Linked DNA regions of Oreochromis niloticus. The protein of the gene in region 1 interacts with the protein of each later gene in a biochemical or structural test. Links are inferred from orthologs where the notes say so. Each region holds a gene or a part of one and is shown on either strand. Other genes may lie near its edges.

What was found.
Region 2: the proteins of grk6 (region 1) and adrb2a form a complex in vitro, tested with the Homo sapiens proteins (2 studies listed by BioGRID, with this or other methods). The link is inferred for Oreochromis niloticus from reciprocal best matches to the Homo sapiens genes GRK6 and ADRB2.

Annotation. Positions count from the first base shown.
Region 1 is NC_031975.2:30,387,162-30,397,603, reverse strand, and holds the start of grk6 (G protein-coupled receptor kinase 6), read left to right. Parts: upstream 1-6,026; 5' UTR 6,027-6,235; coding exon 6,236-6,287; intron 6,288-10,442. Other genes in the region: nop16 (nucleolar protein 16), read right to left, coding at 1,487-1,593.
Region 2 is NC_031966.2:29,905,231-29,915,533, reverse strand, and holds the start of adrb2a (adrenoceptor beta 2, surface a), read right to left. Parts: upstream 4,780-10,303; 5' UTR 4,599-4,779; intron 4,308-4,598; coding exon 3,048-4,307; 3' UTR 1-3,047. UniProt on the Homo sapiens protein: Beta-adrenergic receptors mediate the catecholamine-induced activation of adenylate cyclase through the action of G proteins. The beta-2-adrenergic receptor binds epinephrine with an approximately 30-fold greater affinity than it does norepinephrine.

The DNA of each region.
Region 1 (10,442 bases):
CAGTTGGTGTCGTAAACCACCGCCTCTGTTCAAAGATGGTCGCTCACAGTGGACATAGATGGCCTCTTTCACTCCTCTTTCAAACCATCTGGCTTCTCTGTCCAAAATGTGAACGTTGGCATCCTCGAAAGAGTGACCTTTATCCTTAAGATGCAGATGGACTGCTGAGTCTTGTCCTGTGGAGGTGGCTCTTCTATGTTGTGCCATGCGCTTGTGAAGTGGCTGTTTGGTCTCTCCAATGTAGAGGTCTGGGCATTCCTCGCTGCACTGTACAGCATACACCACGTTGTTCAGTCTGTGTTTTGGAGTTTTGTCTTTCGGGTGAACCAGTTTGTGTCTGAGTGTGTTGCTGGGTCTGAAGTACACTGGGATGTCGTGCTTGGAGAAAACTCTCCTGAGTTTCTCTGATACACCGGCTACATAGGGGATGACAATGTTGTTGCATCTGTCTTTCTTATCCTCCCTCGCTGGTGTCTGATCTTCTTTTCTGTGCATCTTTGCTGACTTTATGAACGCCCAGTTAGGATAACCACAAGCTCATGGCACAACATAGAAGAGCCACCTCCACGGGACAAGACTCAGCAGTTCATCTGCATCTTAAGGTCAAAGGTCACTCTTTTGAGGATGCCAACGTTCACATTTTGGACAGAGAGGACAGATGGTTTGAAAGAGGAGTGAAAGAAGTAATTTATGTCCACTGTGAACAGAGGCGGTGGTTTACGACACCAACTGTCTGCCATCTATAATCCAGTTTTGAGATCCTTCCCAGACGCCTTAACGCCCACTCACATCCTGGGCCATCTGACCTCAGGAAATCACATGATAGGGTGGGGCCAGGTTTCACAATGAGCTCACCCGAAACTCTGGCTGATTAGGACCCCCACCTGCTTTCACACCTTGGCTCATGTGATTAGGTAGAGGATCACCAGGGGGTCCTTTGTCCCCCTTTGGGGGGGAAACTCCCACTAGGTTTAAATCTGGGACTCTCCACCACTGACCCTCAGAACTGAAGAAGCTTCTCGGATGAGAGGTGAAACGTCTTCAAGCAACTTAAAGAACTCCAGACGCTTTTCTTTCCAAGCTCCTTAGTCCATTTGTATTCTATTTTTATCCTATTGTATATTTTATTCTACTGTATATAGTATTTTATTCTATTCTGTACAGTTGTGTACGGTATTTATTCTTATTGTATTCTAATTTTTGCTTCATAACTTTTGCACTGTCCACCTCCTGCTGTGACAAAACAAATTTCCCACGTGTGGGACTAATAAAGGTTATCATATCTTATCTTATTTCTTGAACAAATGGGACCAATCAACTTTAAACAAATGTGAATTAATTCGCTGTAAATCTACTCACTAACGTAAAGAATGTACTCGATCAATCAATTAGTCGACTCTCGGGTCACTGGTATGTTTTGGCTGCAGCTTTAACAACGTGTTTTTGCATCATTCCTACTAATATTAGCACACATGCTAACACTCACTGCTCGATCCTGGGGTTCGACTTCTTCTTGTTCTTCGTCTTCACGTTCTTCCGGTTCCGGTTGTAGTCAAACTTCTTCCTCCGGGCTGACTGCTTGGCTCGCGGCATTTTAGAGATTTTCCTCCGTTTTCAGAGCTGCACACTTTGTGTTGTTCTTACTGTGGCTCAAAAAAATCAGAAAGGGACAGGCAACATGCGGGCAGCAACAGGAAGCACGTGTTTGGTTGGTCCAGGTCACGTGACCACCAAGCCACGCCCCCTCCAACCCAACCGTTTTTTATTAAAAACTTTTTATATTTTTTTCAGAATGTACAGAGTCCACCTGCAAAAAGAAAATAAAGAAATAGAATGAAAAATAATATAGTACAAGAAAAAAAATATTTTAATATTTACAAAATAATGTGACAAAAAATAAAAATATAAATGAAGAAATTATTTTCTCTGATTAAAACAATTGTTTCATAAATCAAGTAACTCAAATAATTTTGCAGGGAAAAACTTAAAAAATAGAAAGTTTTAAGTTTGCTGTATGTTATGCAAAACTGCTGAGATAAATAACAGAGGTGAGTCCAGAAGGGGGGCGTGTGGTTCGAATGGACCCATCCCAACAATGTCACTGGATCAGAGTATTGTTAATCTTACAGTGGATGAGAGCAGGAAGAAGGTACAACCATTCACTCACTTACACACTGTAACATTGTAACATATTCCCATGTTATGCTGTTTTCTTTTACTCTTCTATATGTTGAATATAAATAATGCATCATTCATTTTAAAGCTTTAGTATCTTATCTTGCAGATAAATTGCATTACTAAGCTACCCAACCACAATATACATCATTACAATATCAAAAGCTTCAACATTAAACTGGTATAAACGTCGATCAATCTATAATTTTCATCCATGTCATGTATATGACCGTGAACATGCCATGTGTACTGTATTTATTCTTATTTTATTTTATTCTAATTTTTTGCTTCATAACTTTTGCACTGTCCACTTCCTGCTGTGACAAAACAAATTTCCCACGTGTGGGACTAATAAAGGTTATCTTATCTTATCTTATCTTATCTTATGAATGATTCATTCATGAATACTTTGATTATAAATCAGAATTACAACTTTCTGCTTTTTTGTTGACTGCTAAAAGTCAAAATTCTGTTTTTCCACTTCACAAAACAATCATCCAACACAAACTGATCTTTAAACACGAGCAACATTGTTCAATACACCACCATGTAATAAATCTGTAATAGCATGCAAAAATCAATCATAATAAGTAAATATACAAGCAAAATATTATTTAATATTTCATTATTAAATAAATAAATAGAAATAAATGAATAAAAAACCTATCCATGTTGGAATGTTTTATTCAAAGACACAATGGTAACACATCTGGGTCAGGGTTAACTCTGTTTTTGTTTTTTACCATGTATGCCATTAAATGAATTAAGACTTTGTAACAGTAAGTTAAAGCACTAAAAGCTTATTTATGATCGTTGATATTAATAATTTATCAAACATTTCTTAATAAGGGTGTGGAATTATGCATCATCAAGAGAAAACATTAAAAAAAAATCACAAATAGACTTGGAATCGTAAATATGCTCATTTTTATTTTATTTTTATCCCAATTTTTAAAATTAATATTTGTATTTATTTCATTATGTATTCAAACTCATGACTTAGGGATGTTTATTTTTAAATGAGATGCTGGACATCGTGTATTTCTGAGCTGCTGAGTCAGAGCTGAGAACCTGCAGCTGACGACCGAAACCTCCAGAGGTCAGTGTGATCTAACCTACGCCACACCTACTCAGAGACTCACAGCGCTGAAATCCAGACATCCTCAGAGTCGTCATTATTCATTATTGATCAGATATAAATAAAATCTACACTGCTGATGATCTGAGTTTCTTCTCATAGTTTTCTTTGTGAGAAACAGCAAAGTAGAAATACTAACACAATCCTCCTGAAATCTAATATATACCAGACTTTAGTGCCAGAAGTGAGGAGCAGCCTACAGTCTCTCCTCGAACCCTCGACTCTGTGGCATCCTTTAAAAACCAGTCGCCTGGGTGTTTTGTATTGCTTTACTGGATTCAGGTGTTTATCTCACCATTTTTTAATACATTTGTAAAGCACTTTTTGACATGTCCTCATCTTAAAAAGCATTATATCAATAAACTTTACATATTAATAAAGCAAGTTTACCTGCACACTATTACCACTTAAATTCACAAATAGCTAAATGACATATGATAACAAAGAAACATCAATAAATATATGCCAATAGTACCACAAGCAGTAGGCCTAGTAGTTACAGTAGTAGACACATATTTTCCGTACAGTTCACACAAACACAAACTGTCTTCAATATTACAGGAAACAATAAAAGTTCAGATGACTTATGAAAATTTAAATTTCCCACAGCGGTGGAATTTCAATTCATTCATTGTAAGCCAGAGCTCCTGGAGGCTCTTCTGATTCTAAGAAATGAGTCCAAACCACTGAACTGAATGGTTTAATAAGTAAAAGTAGAAAGAAAAAAACAAAACAACAACAGCAATTTTAGTTATTTTCAATAGAATTTGCACAAATGTTTGCAGTTAAATTGTGTTGAACTTACCTAAATCTTAAATCGTACCTATTCTTTTAACAATTCATTGTTGTATGGTTTGAACAATGAAATGCTTTAGTTTATACATATACATACGTACATATACATATTATAGTATACGGGAAATACAGCTGCCCTTCTGCTTAATGATGCAGCTGATCTTTTTAATAGGGCAACAATTACATTTTAATATCCACAAATCCTTCATAATTAACATTATCTCAATTTATCAAATTTAAAAAAAAAAAGTCCACCTGAGAATCTCAGACTGGCTTAAAAAAATCCATGAGAAAGCAATATTTGTTTACAGTTATGCAAAATGTAGATTCCTGTTGTCATTAGTTTTCTCAAAAATACTTTTGGGATGAAGGTAGAGCTGTTTTTCAACGTTTTCCTGAAATCATATTTGAGAGGCCTTTTAAAGGACTGTTTGAGCTCAGTCCTTCAAATGTTTCTCTACCATTATAGACTGTCAGGAGTGGCGCTCGAGTTAATGACGAATGCTTGAATTCCCTGAAATATTTGGATGTACAATCTGTGACAACCAAATCTGCTGTCAAAGATCACACATCCAAATGTTTCAGGGAATTAAAGCATCATCATCATCATTTATTTATATAGCACTTTAAAAACACACCTGGTAGACCAAAGTGCTGTACAATACCAATATGCACATAGTAATAAATAAAATAAAATAAAATAAAATAAAATAAAAGCATTCATCATTCTACCTCAACTGAAGTCCTCTCCTCAGAGTCCACATTTAAAAAGTACTGAGCTCAAGTTATTTTAGATAACGGAATTATAAAATTGCCTCTCATTAAACAATTATAGAAAAACTCCTAAAAACTGCATTACTTAATTCCTTAGATTATCTTTTAATTAATGATAGGAGGGACTTCCTGTTAAGTAGTTTACTTTTGCCCAGGAAACTCGTAGATGGCCAGTTGTGGGCGATTTGATGACCTCCACGGTTTCACAAACTTAGTTTTGTACTTAATTTACAACACAGACAACATTATCAATAGAGCTTAAAATCAACATGTAGTCTACAAATAACTGCAAGAAATCAAAACTTTTTGCGAATTATTTACATACTGAGATCAAATGGGCCTAACTGTAATGTGATTGGTTTGTCTACAACAAATATATTTGCTTTGACATAATTTATTGGACAAAGAGACAGACAGCATAAGTAATAAACCGTTAACCCAAAGTCACGAATGAAACCGTCAGCTAAAAGTAATACACAGTTAACTGAAAACAAAAAAAAAGAAGTAGCAAAAAATGTATAAACTGTTAACGTAAAGTAACGAATGAAACAGCTAAATGTAATAAACAGTTAGCTAAAATAACAGATTACAAGGTCAGCTAAAAGTAATACACAGTTAACTAAAAATAACAGACAGTTAACTAAATGAATTAAAAGTAATAACCTGTTATAAATGGCTAAAAGTACTCAACGGTGAACCAAAAGTAATTAATTAAATGTTTAGCTAACAGTACTAAATGCTTAAATGATTAAACGGTTAGCTAAAAGTCATAAAGCGCTATCAGAGACCAGTTGTGCCCGTCTCTGGTAAAGGGTCCATTATGAATAATGCCAGTCAGTCTTTTTTAAATTGCATGGTTAAGTTTTGTGGACAGTAAAGTTTGTTTTAATATAACTCAAACTCTAATGGTATTGTTGCTAGCATTTTCTAATAGCTTTAAATTGCTTGTTTAAGTAACACACACTTCGAGGCTAGCTCAAAACCGAAGCATTAGATATGAGCAGAGTGAGCTATCTGCCTTTGATATTATGATGTGTATTTCCTTAAACGCGCCTTTGTAACAGAGTGAGAAGTCTGCTTTATTTCCTCCTCTCTGACAGCAGCTTCAGGGCGGAGAGATGGAGCGAGGAGGAGGAGTAACAGGAGGAGAAAGAGGAGAGGAGGGGCGCGGACTGTCACCGGACGGGTCTGCGCGAAAGCAGAAACGGAGCTTGAGTTTTTCCTCCTTGGCTGGGCGGTGGGAGGAAGTGGTGGCGGTGGACGGTGCTTGGCAGAGGATAACTGTGATTGAAGCCGCCGGGGGGACCTGGAGCTCGGTGTGCTGCCGCTGCTGTAAGCCCGCACAGCATTAACATGGAGCTGGAGAACATTGTGGCCAACACTGTGCTGCTCAAAGCACGGGAAGGTAAGGATGGGGAAGGCGGTGTGACAGCTCCTCTCCACCGGTGTGTTACAGTCACAGCACCGGAGGGATGCCCCGGACTCGGGCGACACGAACTATTCCTGCACTTCCTGACAAATCTTTTGATGATGCGCGCAGGGTGTTACCGTAAATACAGTTCGTACAAGTAGATTGAAACGACCAACCGAACTCCGTTTATAATTCGAGCGGTATAAGCCTTTGTTTCATATCCGTGGTCCTACCCTGAATGTCAACTTAATGAGGACTTTATTCAAAAATTTAGCAAACAGTGTCCAAATCGGCGTGGAATATGTTTAAACAAATCTCTTAATTACCGTGAAATCTCTGTCTTCCTTGTTCATTGTGCCGACTACATTGTAAAGTCAATAGCTCTGTTATACTACCTACACAGGGCATGTATGAATGTTTACTATATTCCAGTATACGCCGAATTAAAGAGTATGACCTAAAGGCTGGGAAAACGTTACAAGTACCAAATGTTTAAAATTATTTTTTGGCCTGGCTTTGATAGTGTACCTAAAAACGTTGTCCGGAAAGGGTTGTAACCGTGAACTGTGGCTGCAGCGACACATCGGGTTTCCCTTGCTGATCTTGCAGCATCGTCCTGTAGTTTGCGAAACAGGATGTTGTGGCAGAGCAGCTGCTGTGCATGGCTTTGTGCACACAATTGATTTTACTGTTCCTGCCAAAGCCCATCATCATTAAAAAGGCCCTCATTAATCAGCTACAACCAGGAAGCTGTGATATCTGTGGGTAAGAGTCCAGGTGAAAAGGTTGGCTTGTAGGAAACCCTACTGGCACAGTTTGTCCAATGACTGTTAACACTTTTGAATACCTAATGCAACATAAACGGCCCTCATGCGATCAAAGGCTTTTGTTATTGTTCCAATAAACAGGAGACAAAGGTTTGAGTGGCTCACAGCCGACATAATCCTAATGCTGTCTGCACAGGCACCTGAGAAGATGTTTCATGAGTTTATCAGCTGTGCTCATACATAACCAGGACCTGAGGCTCTGTGCTGGCATCCAGCTGAAGCACCCTTGAGAAAGGCACCGTATCTCCGGGCTCCGTCAGGCCTTGACTCTGACCTCTCTGGAGCTGAGACTTATCTAAACTCTTGAGTTCAGCACTCACACAGACCGGCACAAAGTTTGAGCCCGAGGCTTTTAATTTCCTGCGTTCTGCAGAATTTTCTGCACCGGTTTGCACCTTTTCTCGTCGCTTAATATGTAACGCATAATTGCTTTATAATGATTGTTCTCAGTTTTCCTCATTTAACACTGTCCCCACTGAGTCATCACACATGTAGCCGTGACTCTTCTGACCTCATTGGGGTTTGCCTGGTTTTGGATGTGAGAGTCATCTGATATCGGGATAATTCCCCGGCCTTTTGTTTGGGGATGAATGAATAATTTGTTTATTTTAATTTACATACCTAAGACGTGTTTCAGTAAACAGGGCACTCATTCATTGAAACAAGGGCTGGCAGTGTTATTCTTCAGCATGTGTTGGACAACTTTTCACTTTCTTTAACCCAAACTGGGATTTTTTTCCTCTAAATATCTGCATGTAGTTTTAAGTAATAATTTATGAGGTTTTTGGATCAGTAATGTATTTATGATGTATTTAAAATAACACAAATTGATGTAAAAGCTGACTGAAGTGATTTGCTCTAACAACGACGATCCCTCCATTTAAAATTGGAAAAATATTCATGTCATGCACACCAATGACGTTGAGGAGTCCAGTGACACTTAAGTTAATAGGGAACAACTCTATGAAGTGACCAATGTGTTTCGGCTTGGTCGAATGACCCTGAGGAACGCCACAAGCCGAAACACGTCAGTCACTTCATAAAGTTGTTCCCTATTAATTTAAGTGTCGCTGGACTCTTCTGTTTGTTACATTCTGTTAGTGGAGCGATAAATACAGTCAATAAACTGTAATGTGTCAGTGAACAACACAGACACATTACAGCGGGTCTTTACTGAAACTAAATCAGAACACAGAGGCAGTGTGTGACAAACAGTGACTGAGTGGCTTGTTGAAGCATGTTTAGCAGGAGTAATTTAAAGTGTGACTTTATTAATCTCCCATATGGTTGTGGAGGATTTTTCATTCACTCTTCTTTACAATGTTGCTTCAGTTCATTGAGGTTTGTGGGCACTTGTTTATGCACAACTCTGTGAATGTCCAACCGCAGTATGTCAGGCGTGGCGGGGACCCTGAATCTTTTCTTTTTCAGTCGTTCTGTTTGATTTGCTGCTTTGGATCATTGCCCTGTTGCATGACCCAGTTTAGTTCAAGCTTTAGCTGTCAGACAGATGGCCTCACGTTTGAGTCTTGGTATACAGGCAAGTTCATGGTCGACTCAACGGCTGCCAGGTGTCCAAATCATCATCCATCCACCAACATACTGAAAGTTGGTATTAAGGTTTTTTTTCTGATCTGCTGTGTTTGGTTTTCTCACAGGTGGCGCTGTGCATTTCCACTTTGTATCATCTGTCCAAAAGACATTGTTCTAGAAGTCTTGTAGTTTGTGGAGATTTGCAAACCTAAGCCGTGCAGCCATGTTGTTTCTAGAGAGACCTTTTTCCTGGAAACCCTTCCAAACAGGGTGTACTTGTTCAGTCTTTGTCTAAGTGTGCTGAAATGAACTTTAACCTTGCTAACTGAGGCCTGTAGAGTCTAAGACTTTTCTCCAGTTTCCTACACGTTTGGGTGTCTTTGCTGTTCACTCCTGAGAAGATCGTAGTATGTTTCTGCTGGAGGTTTCTTCCTGTTGAAAGGGAGTTTTTACTTCCCACTGGTAGGGCTGCTCAATTAATCGAATTTTAATCTAGATTACGATCTGGGCTTTCAACGATCATTAAAAATGACTGAGCCGATTATTAGCACCTCCCTCGTGCTTTACTCTCGCGCTGCTCCGTGTGGCAAATCGAGCGCACCTCTCCGCGTTTCGAACACGCGTCACAACAATTAAGAGGATCCGAGGGAAGCTCGGAAAGCTAAGCAGAAGTTATTTGGAGAGGAGAGGATAATGGCTGCTGCAGAAAGAATGCCGTTGGTTGAAAAGAGGTAAAACGACTTCGGTGGTGTGGAAACATTACAGGTTCGCGGAGTCAGACGGGGATCAAGTAGACATAGTGTGGAAACTTTGCTACGGTGTCGTAGCTGCACCACAGAGCAACACTACAAATTTATTCAATCATTTGAAGACCGCTCACAAAGTGACACACGATCAAACAATGAAGGAACATAGAGAAAAACTCTCGACAACACCTGCTTCATCCTCACAGACCTCCATTCACGCTACCCTGTACAACGCGACTAAATATCCCACCAGCTCCCAGAGACACACGGAGATAACAAACGCGGTAACGTTTTCCTCGCCAAAGACCACTGCTCAATTAACACAGTGAACAACCAGTATTATGCAGGATTTTGAAGTTCACTAAACATAGATGTTTACATTTTTCATTTATTTTTTATATTGCAAACATTTGCACTGTAATCAGTATTTGCACACTATTTTATATTATTTTTTGACCTCTTTAAAGTCATTATTCAATACATTGTTATTGTTAAATAAATAACAATGAAAAGCGCTATATAAATCCAATGCATTATTATTATTATTAATATCGTCAAATAATCGAGATCTCAATTTCAGTGAAAATAATCGTGATTATCATTTTTGCCATAGTCGAGCAGCCCTACTGACTGTCATCAAGTGCTTGCTCACAGGGGGTTGTCTGATTGTTGGGGATCATTGAAAGGTCTTTACCTCAAAATACGAAGCACCTTGAGGTGAAAGTTGTTGAGATTTGTGCTATAAAAAAGAAATTAAATTGACTTGTGTTATCACACACCTGAATGAGTCAATAGAGGTGGTCATGCTTGCAGATGATAAATTAATTAACTGCATTTGATCAGCATGTGGCTGATACTTAACCTCTAAGTCTCTATGGATGCATTAGGGGTGCTCTTCATTTTCCCCACACTGTTTCTACATTTTGCTTTAGTTTTGTTACAAAGTGTGATGTTACATATGTCATATTTTGGATTTTATCAGGTTATATTTACCTAATTTTAGAACCTACAAAGAGCATGATTAATTCTTGTTTGTGTACTTT
Region 2 (10,303 bases), on another chromosome or scaffold:
GGATGGTGAATAGTTTAATTAAAATCATGACTAAGTTCTTCTCATGGGCAAAACTGACTTTTATTCAATCTGAACAACTGTGGTTCTGTTAGAAAAGCACTGGTTTTACCCCACCGAGACTTGTATCATATTTAACCTGGTACTCCAAGATATTGATTGCCGTACAAAAAAATATATGTGTGAAATGTGCATGTCACTTTGTAACATAACCTCTAAGACTTCTCTGTAACCCTGAATCTGTTTTAAAAATATATTTCTTTCTGTGTGTACCCACACTAAAATCGCTTATCTGCTGCGAGACACTGGTGGGAGAACTAAATGTGGACTGCAAGCATCCGTAGGCAAGGTATGTGGTTAGAAACCATCAGCTGTGCTTTGCTTGGAATGTTATACTGTCAGCTATTCATTCAGGACTCATTGCACATAACAGTGTGGTGTCCTCCAGCAACAACGGGAGGTGAAGCCATGCATTGCATCCCTTATTATACAGCCTTATTGATGAAACAGTAACCATGAGTAACTCTGAGACAGCTGAGGTGCAAGGAGAGTCCACTGCCAGGAGAGAGCAGTGTGGATATATAGTTCACAATCTACAGCACTTGGGCTCAAACTGATCAATTTTAAAGGAAATGGCACAGAAGTCCACAAACACCTCACTACAAATGTGAAGCTGGCATGCAAGAGATCATTGGTGCATTACTCCTAAAATTACACGTGTTTAAGCTGCAGACCTTTTAAACCAGCAGAGACTCAGCTATTTACATCTTAATAAAAGCAACATAGAAAATGGTCTAGAGGCTTTGACCGTTTTGTGCTTTGCGTAGACTGTACAGTGAAAATGTTGGGAAAATGCAGACCAACATGTCTTATGACACCCAACCCCTGCATTTACTTTGCTGTAAATCTGTTAAAAAGAAAAACAGATAATGAGCTCGACATCCTGGAAAGCTTGTTTTTTCACATGGCAAACAGTGACGTATGAGGATACCATATTTACGTCTATTCCTAAGGTCTGCAGCAGCAGCACCGCTGATCGGACATAGCAATACAGTACATGGAGATTCCTCTGAGAGAACAAAGTTCACAGTTTTTACAGCATCAGCAGACCTGCACCGGCAATGCTACATGCACTTTAACACAGGTCACTAACACCGATTTAGACTTGCAGAGAATCCCTGGTCCCCCTTCTGCCACATTTAGCATGCTGATCAAGACATACTAGAGACTGCCAAACTGACTGGGGAAAGGGGTTCTGTCTGTAGGCACACCTTCATTACTTCTCTTAAGACTAATGATCTTGCACACCGTTTACTGTAAGTCACAAAAAAAAAAATTCTGTTCCCATGAGTATCTGATCTCATGTTAAATTGCCCCTTCGGATTTTATTCTAACCTGCATTGTTTATTAGAGAATTAATGTCAGAAAGTGGAACAGCTAAGGCACTGTTCTATGGACTCCTGAGTGTCTTATCCAAAGGTTTTCTGATTTGCAACTGATTTTACAACGGCGGAGGCACCTGTGAGAGAGCCGTGACAGTGGTGCGCTACTCAGGGCTGTTTTCTTTTTCTTCCTCTCATCTATCTTTATTACCCTGAATATTCACCACCGCCACATCTTGGGTGTGGAACTTTGTTATCGCTTGGCTATTTTGACACACTGTTTATTATTACGTGTGGTTTGTACCCTTGTGCCATGACTAAGGAAATGGCTTCTCTGGTTTCAGTAAACAGTGTACATGCTGAAACAGAGCAACCACAGATTTTAATAAATAAATAGGGCTTGTGCAACAAAGGGCGCTACTGTAACTGTTGCATAGAAGGAAAAGGAAAGATGAATAGTTTTTCTTACACTTACGTAATGGCCATAATGTACTGAGTCACATGTAGCACATAAGTCGGCCACTTAACAGAATGCAAGAAGTGATGGGTTCTGACTGTGCAATAGCAAACTTTAAAATGTGCACTTTTGAATTTATGTTAATAACAGCTGCAAGCTTCAAAGGTCAACACTCAGGATTAACCGCATTATCTGTAATGGCATCCACTTTGCACCGAAAGATTACATATATCTTTTGACCTGACAGCGGAATCTGGCTTAGACAGCATATACATGCTTGCAAGTTTTGACCACCCTCACTTTGACCTAGGTTTCATCAGTAACTCATAGATTACTGTGAAGCTTCATATCTCTAGTGCTATCCGCCCGCAATGGAAACTCAAATGCAAGAGACTGTAATACACTATAGAAGGGAACAGGGCCTCGTAACATTGCTGAGGAGTGAAACAGAGCGACTGAGACGGGTTTTGCCACACCTGCTTTGGATCATTTTTCAGATTTGGACAATCGTTAAAGAAAAAAAGAGCAAAGTAAAGGATGCCAGATTATAGTCTCGGTCAATTTGGAATGTGTTTCTTGAAGCAAAGCATCGAAGAGGTATTACGTTTAACCCTTCACCTTCAATCGTTCTCTGATTACTTTGCTCTTTGTGCCAAATTGGCACGTTCGGATGAAATTTACAACCTCCGACCGCTTCTCCTTTGAAATTCTGAAACATTTTATGCTAATAAAAACTGTGGGATCTTTCTCCAGCTCAAAGATAAACAACATGGCTACAAATTCAGTTGAAGCCAGACAATTAGCAGTCATACAATCCACAGGCCATTTAGTAGAGTAAATAAACTGCTGAGATGCTGCCCTACTTTAACTCCTGCGGAGAGTGACTTAATGTGACAGATGGTCAGCTAAGATGCAAATATTGAAAAGGTATGATGAGGTAGATGTGAAAATTCAAAAAAAAAAAAAATGCAAGAAACACACACAAAAGGGAAATGTGAGAGACCTACAGTTTTGTGTCACTGTGTTTGAAGAGGAAAAGTGACACTTTACTCAGCTGAACAGCTGAGTTATTGTTTCTTTAAAGTCTCCAGAGACTCTGTCAGTCATTTTTGACTGGCCTTACCTTCATCAGCCATTTAAAAAAAAAGTTTACAATAGCAATGTAAACATATCTGGATTTCCTTGTTGACAGAAGTCTCAGTGCTTCAAGTTTATAGGACAGTCGTTATACTCGTTACAGTCATTATGTCTTTGCTGCAATTCCCGTTGGGGTCCACTGCTCTGTCCACAACACTGCAGACCCCTGCTCCTTTCCCCAGAAACCCTTCAGTGGGGTCACTCTCTTCTGAGTTACCTTTACTCCTCCCCTGCTGCTCACTCTGCCAGCTGTGCCTGCTATAGATGTATCCATTCACAGGTCCAGGGTTGCTGAGGCGGTTCCTCTTCATGCACAGGATTTCCTTGAATGCATACCAGAATTCAGGGCTCCGACAGTAAATAAGTGGGTTGAAGGCAGAGTTTGCGTAACCTATCCAGTTAAGTACCATAAAGGTGGTCGGGCTGTTCACAGCCCATATAGCCTCCACCACGTTTAGCACGAAGAAGGGCAGCCAGCACAGAGTAAAGGTCCCCATGATGATGCCCAGAGTCTTCAGAGCTTTGTGTTCCCGAAGGCAAAACTTCGCCTTTTTAAGGCCACGCCCATTATTGGCCTCCAGAGAATTAGTGTTGCTGATGTCGCTGTTATGAAAACGTCCAACGCTTTTGTCAATCTTTTTTAGTTGGTGCCTCGCCTCCTGGAAAACTCGACTGTAGACAAAAATCATGATGACCAAAGGGATGTAGAAGGAGATGATAGAGGAAGTGATGGCATAAGCCTGGTTGGTGTGGAATTCGCAGCAATCAGTTTGGTTTATACACTTTTCAGCTTCCTTATTATCAGCAGTCCACCACATCATGTGGATGGGCAGGTAAGATATCAGTGCAGCAATCACCCAGACCAGCACCACCACAAAGCGAGCTCTGCACTTGGTCAACATTGACTGGTAGCGGAAGGGAGAAGTAATGGCCAAATAACGGTCTATGGCGATGACACAGAGGGTCTCAATGCTTGCAGTCACGCAGAGCACATCAGTGGCAGTCCAGAAGTCACACCAGAAATTACCAAAGTACCACGTATTATTAGAGATAATTTTACAGGCACCGAAAGGAATCACAATCAGACCCATGACCAGGTCGGCACAGGCAAGCGATGTGATGAAACAGTTGGTGACATTCTGGAGACGCTGAAAGCGGGCAATTGCCGTTATGACCAGGATGTTGCCAAAGACAATAGTCAAAACTAATAAGGACATGACCATGCCCAGCAGGATCATTACAGGGGCACTGAAACCTTCATCAGTCCCAGTTGAATTCGATGACGAGTTCATTGCAGTCATATTGGTGTACTCTGAGTTGGTTGTACTTCCCATCTGAAGAGAACACATATGAACAAAACACACACACACACACACACACACACACACACACACACAAACAAAAGGAGTGAATTTTACAAATTACGTTTTTTTTTTAATTCTGCCTAATTACAACAAAAGAAAATGAAAAAAAATGCATGCACTTAAATCTAGCACTAACAAAAAAGAAAAAGGAGACCAAAGCTTACCGCACAAAACCCACATACATAAACTCAGTATATCCAGTTAGTTTCAAGCAAGCTTTAAAACATGCTAAACAAGCCAGACAAAAGCAGAAGTACAAACCTCCACAGGTAGCAGTCGTGTTTCCTGGCTCCCATACAAAGTAAAATGTCACTGTTTAGGTAGTTCCCACAAAGCAGTGAGTATCACATGTCCCAGCTACTTTCTGCTTTACTTGATCTACGCGTGTCTCACTCACTCAGTCCCTCAGCTGAGCAGTGTTTCTTCTAATGTGTCTCCCAGGCTATTTGTCAGAGCCCTTATAGCATGCAGTGATGACATCATGGTCAGTGCTGAGCCAATCAGACAGCCAGCCTGCGGAGGGTGCAGAGAGCTCTCAAGAGTTTGAACACGCTGTCCCTACAGTGGTGTTTGCAGGGCTGCATGAGACAAAAACTGCAAACAAAGTAAAGGACTCCTTAGATTGATCTTTTTTTTTATAGTGTGAAATTAGTTTTAGAAGGTCTACACTGTGCTTAAAATTAGACTCTACTTAAAGTTAGGCACTGCAAAACTACTTGGAGGGGGGGGGGTAATGTGTAATAGCTGCTTTACAGATCTTACTCATTGCTCATATTTCATATTGAAAACAGGCTCAGCTTTCTGCTTTACCTTTTTATGTTTTAATGTCAAAGTAATGTTTTAAAACTATGTATATTTTTTTCTGACCTATTTTACTTGTTGAACTTAAATACTGCCCGCATACTTAAATGTATATTACAGCCCGTTTAGTTTTTGTAACCACAGAATGAAAACACTTAGATTTACATAATGCTACAAGTACAGATGTCTAAAAGTCAAACTAGGGAAGAGTCCCTCATAATTTTAGTCTAGGACTGCACCACTAGTGTGGCCAGTTTGACAGGGACAAGCTGTCACGCTATACCTTATCAAGATACAAAAATGTTTTCAGGATTCAGGACAAATTTGCATTTATATATTAAAAGTAGCTCTGTGCAAATCATAAAAAAACTGGGATGTTTGTTTGTTTTGTTTTTTTTAATATATGTATCTTAAATACTATTTAAATTTTGATGCAGAGAACTTTGTTATCTGTGTTTCAGCCAAACCGTGGCTGATAAGAAAGCTACAGAGCACCTAAACCACAGTACGTTTGTTTGGGTTTGTGACCTGGTTGTGCAACAACTAAGTAGGATGTTTTACCACAATTACTTTCAGTATGTATAGCTTTTTTTTTTTAAATCTTTGAGCATGGAAATTATTTTATATTTGTTTATGTGTTTGTTTTTTATGAACAGCAACTTTATTTCTTATTTAAATAAACATTCCAATGTTCTGATCAAGTTGATCCCACGTTTAAGTTAATTAGCAGCCACAAGATGCAATTTGTTCCCATGTTTTTGTACATTTACATTATATTACACAAGTTAAAAGGCAAACAGTGAAATCTTCAGAGCTAGATAAATAACATTTTCATTGTTTAGGCATCTTAACAATAACTTCATACTTATACATTGTAGTGTCTATGTAAAAGACACTCGAATATACTAATACAGGTTAGTCTGTTTTTCATCTACAACAATTTGCATTTGGTTGTTTTGTTGGACGTCCCCGTCATTCTACATGGATACTTGAAAAGCCTAACATAGAGGGAAACACACCTCCTGCCCTTTCATGTATATACATGGAAAGCCTGAGGCAGGGAAAGTAGTAAAAGCAGCAAACACGATAAGAGTGATTACACTGTAAACACAGACTTCACTTGCTTGTTTCAGCTAACATAGGAAGACTCTGAAAAGTGTGCTAGCAGGTGTAACAGATGTACAAACAAACAAAGCGGTAGTTTTCAAGTGGTTGAGCCATACGAATGGAATTGTGTCTTCAGCCTACACCGGTTAGTCTCCACACTGAAGCACCTGACAGTCGAAGTGAATGACACTGATCATTAAAATGCAATGTTGTGCTAGGGCCTGGCATTTATGTTAATTTGACGCGTGCTACCAAAGGTTACCACTACATTACAATACCACTTGTCAAAATCAGTGACCACTAGCCTGACAGCGTGCCACGCCACACTGCAAAAACTGCTTAGAAACACGTGCCCTGACATGACCCTGCTCAACAGTGGACTTCTCGTTTACATTTTGTGGCAGATAAGTAAAATAGCTAACAAAGATTTATTAAAGATGATTTAACGGTAGAATCAGTTTTCACCAATAGTGACAAATTGCAAACTCGAGTGTAGACTGCAATAGCACGTGATAGCACTAATGTTTTAGATAGTGACTGAATTTTGGTCAAGACTGGCAACGTCCAGTCCGAGTGCTTTCCAAATGGCTTCTGCTGCTTCTGCTTCAGCTTGCTGATGCTGCGAATCCTGATGATGGTGATCGACACAGAAAGCATTAGAGTAAATGAAGTGTGATAACTGACAGCCTGCTTGTACTCATGAGACCGAGAGGAAGTAGTAACGGTAGACAAGGTAAAACGGCTTAAATACCACATCACATATGAGCTTTGCCAATGGCATTCTCAAGCCTAACCAACGGGAGATCAGTGATGAGTGAAGTGATTTTAGTGACAGTACTGTGGAATGGAGTTATGTGTGGAACACACTGTTAACCAGGTTCAGATGACTGTACATTTTGATGAAAATTAGGCTGCTCTATTATCAGCATCACAGCAGTGAAAATGAGCTACAGCTTGTGCTTTTGTCATTTTTGAGCAACTGGTCCAACATTTCAAATCCCAGGTCGAGGTAAGTGTGTCTCAGTTATCTGTGGGTGCTTTCAAGTGTGTACAGGTCCACGCTAAGCTTACAAAGGGAAGTGATGATAGTTTCCAGAGCTCTGATCTTCAAAGAATGCAGACGCCAAAGGCACTGTACTTCCTCTGTGCACTTCCAAGGGAGCTTTGACAAATGCCTATATGACTGATGACGCAAGAGCAAATCCAACCACTCAATCCATATGCGCAAATCCAATTTTCAGCATTTACACAGACATCTCAGTACTTATTTATACAAATATGATTTTCTATGTCCCACTTTTTAAACAAAAACGGGTCAGAGACATGCTGCATACTGCTTGTAACCATGGTGCCTTCTGACTAATTTGAACTTTGTTGCTCACAGTAAACGTTCCAGGCAAAATGTCAGTAACTAGCTACTGGGTGAATTACTCGAAAATGTTCCATAGGCATTCATAGGAAGACTTAAATTGATTTGGTGACCTTTTGTCTCGTTACATATGTTGCTTATATGACAACTTCTCTTGGCAGATTTCCATGAAAACCAGTAGTCATATTCCCAAAATTCATTTAGATGTTTTAATGACCTTTTAATCTATTTCCTTTTACTACTGTGAGGATTAAACTTCCACATGCGCCCCAAAAAGAGGAAAAATGTAAACATGCATTGCTCTGAAATCAAAAGTCCACTCCTTGGGCTTTCCCACTGGATCAGCAGGTAAAAATAGTGCCATGAAATACCCCCAGCTCATTTTACTCATTTGATTTTAGTAACCCCCATAGTCTTATCTCTTGCACAACATGCATGACAAACCCACCATGCTTAGCCTCTAAAGATACGTCAGTATATTATCAGCACCTTCCAACAGTTAGATTGTAAGTTATAATGTACAGCATAGGCATCAAATGCTTTTTTCTCCTTCATGTATTACTTTGAGGAGCTTTTCTGTTTTGCTTTTAATGCAGAAAAAAGATTTTTAAATAATATCAAGAAAGCTTTTTATTGGATGATCAGCTTTAGCGTTGTCTGAGAATGCTGGATTTAGGCCTTGAGCTCGTTTGTAATTGTAGGCCTATGTGGACAACTAAGTGAAACACAGTACATATTAAACTTCACATTGATTTAGTTTAAATATGCAGTACAATAACCTACACTAATTGTAAATGAAATTTCTGTTCTGTGTTCTGTTTTGGAAAGCTTGTTCCAGTGTTGGATTAATCACAACTGGTTTCCTCAGTCTGTGACATCTGTTTTCCTGTATCCTGTCACTCCCAGGCAGAACCGGTTCACATTTGGGTCCTGTCTGCACTTAGATGTTGTGCACTGCTCTATTTAGTCAAACACTGTCACATTAAAAGTGTCTTATCTCTTTACCATCTCCTGTACAATTCCTACTTCTCTTTATTGAAGTTGTGATGCTGACCTGATGGCCCAACAAATTACTCAGCCCCCCCCTCCCAACACCTGTTACAGTGTCACATTTTACTGTGTGTACAGAATTTTTGTACTTGAATTCTAATGCTAATATCTAAGGGTAAGGTAAACTAGAGACGGGAAGTCTTTCTTCACCTGGCAGAGGAATTGCCAGTCTCACGGGAGTCACTTTTTTCTCTGCCTCATTGATTGCAAACATACAAAGAGAAGGGCGAATTAGACTCTTGTTTGAGGAGGTTAAAGGCCAAATACTGTGATGACCAGTGTTGGGACTAACGCGTTATTAAGTAACGCGTTACAGTAACTACGTTATTATTGTGGTAACGAGCACGGTAACTAGTTATTATGCCAAAACCAGGAACGCGTTACTCGTTACTGGGATTTAGATAGGCTCGTTATTCGTTACTTCGTGTGGTGGATATCGCGGAGCTTCCACAGATTCAATAACATTAGCAAGTGGTGGAAGCCAGCAGGTGGATGAAGGAAAAGGGAGGCAAGAGGAGAGACCCGAAGCGGCCGCCGGTCCGCGTGTCAGGTGAACTGAACTTCCGGTAAGAAGTTATGACCTGCAGTCTGTCTGAGTCAGATATAAACCAAGTTTAGGTGGAGTTTATTTTCGGTATGCTGACATTTTCGTACTGCGTGCTAGCTAGCATGACGGAGTTTCTATACAGCTGGGTGGGTGCTATGTTACTGATGTTGAACTTTATTTTGTTCATATGGTTAATTATTAGAGTTGCCAACCGTCCCGTAAAAAACAGAATCGTCTGGTATTCAGAGAAAATATTACGCGTTTCGTACTGAGGTGAAAAGGAACACAGTTTGTCCCGGACTTCAGCTACAATGAAAAAGACACAAAGCTGAAGCTGCACAGCTGCCTCTTCTTCTCTCATTCTCTCCTCTCCTGTTTCTACTTCAATCACGAAACTGATCAATGATCAGCTGATCGGCTTTTCTCTCTTGTTTGTTTATCGCCCACTTTGTGCCAGAAAGAGGAAACCAGCGGATGTCGCGTTAAACAACAGCATCACGTTTAAGCTTGATCAGCTGTTGTTAGAATGTATTTAATATTAATTTCTAGTATCAGCTGATGTTTGCTGGAGCCACAGCTGTAAAGCTGCTGGTCATGATATCGGTTTGGTTATCTGGTGAGAGGGAAACATGCAGATGAAACCAGGAGATGTCCTTACTGAATCATCAGAGCTGAACAGGTGATGGAGAAACAGGTTTACCTTTTAGGTGACATGAATGAGTTGAAGGGAAGTTATGAACTGTTTCTGAGAGACAAATAACACCAGGATCCTTTTCTATGTAGCTGACAGCTGGTAACTGTGCAGGGGCGGGTCTAGCAAAGTGTTGCCAGGGGGCCAGGTAGGGCATTAACAGGGAAAGGGGGGCACAAAGAAATACTTTTCTTTCTTATTCTCATTTAAAATGTCTTGCTTTAAAAAAAAAAAAAATTATCTGAGTCTTACAACAAACAATTGATAGATTGATACATATATACCATCAGAACAGTGTACATCACTGTCACAACAGTGTTTGTTTTCATTCAAAGGCTTTATGATTTTTCCTATAATGGTGGGCCGGTCTCTAGTCAAAATGCCCGGGATGATTTTTTTGT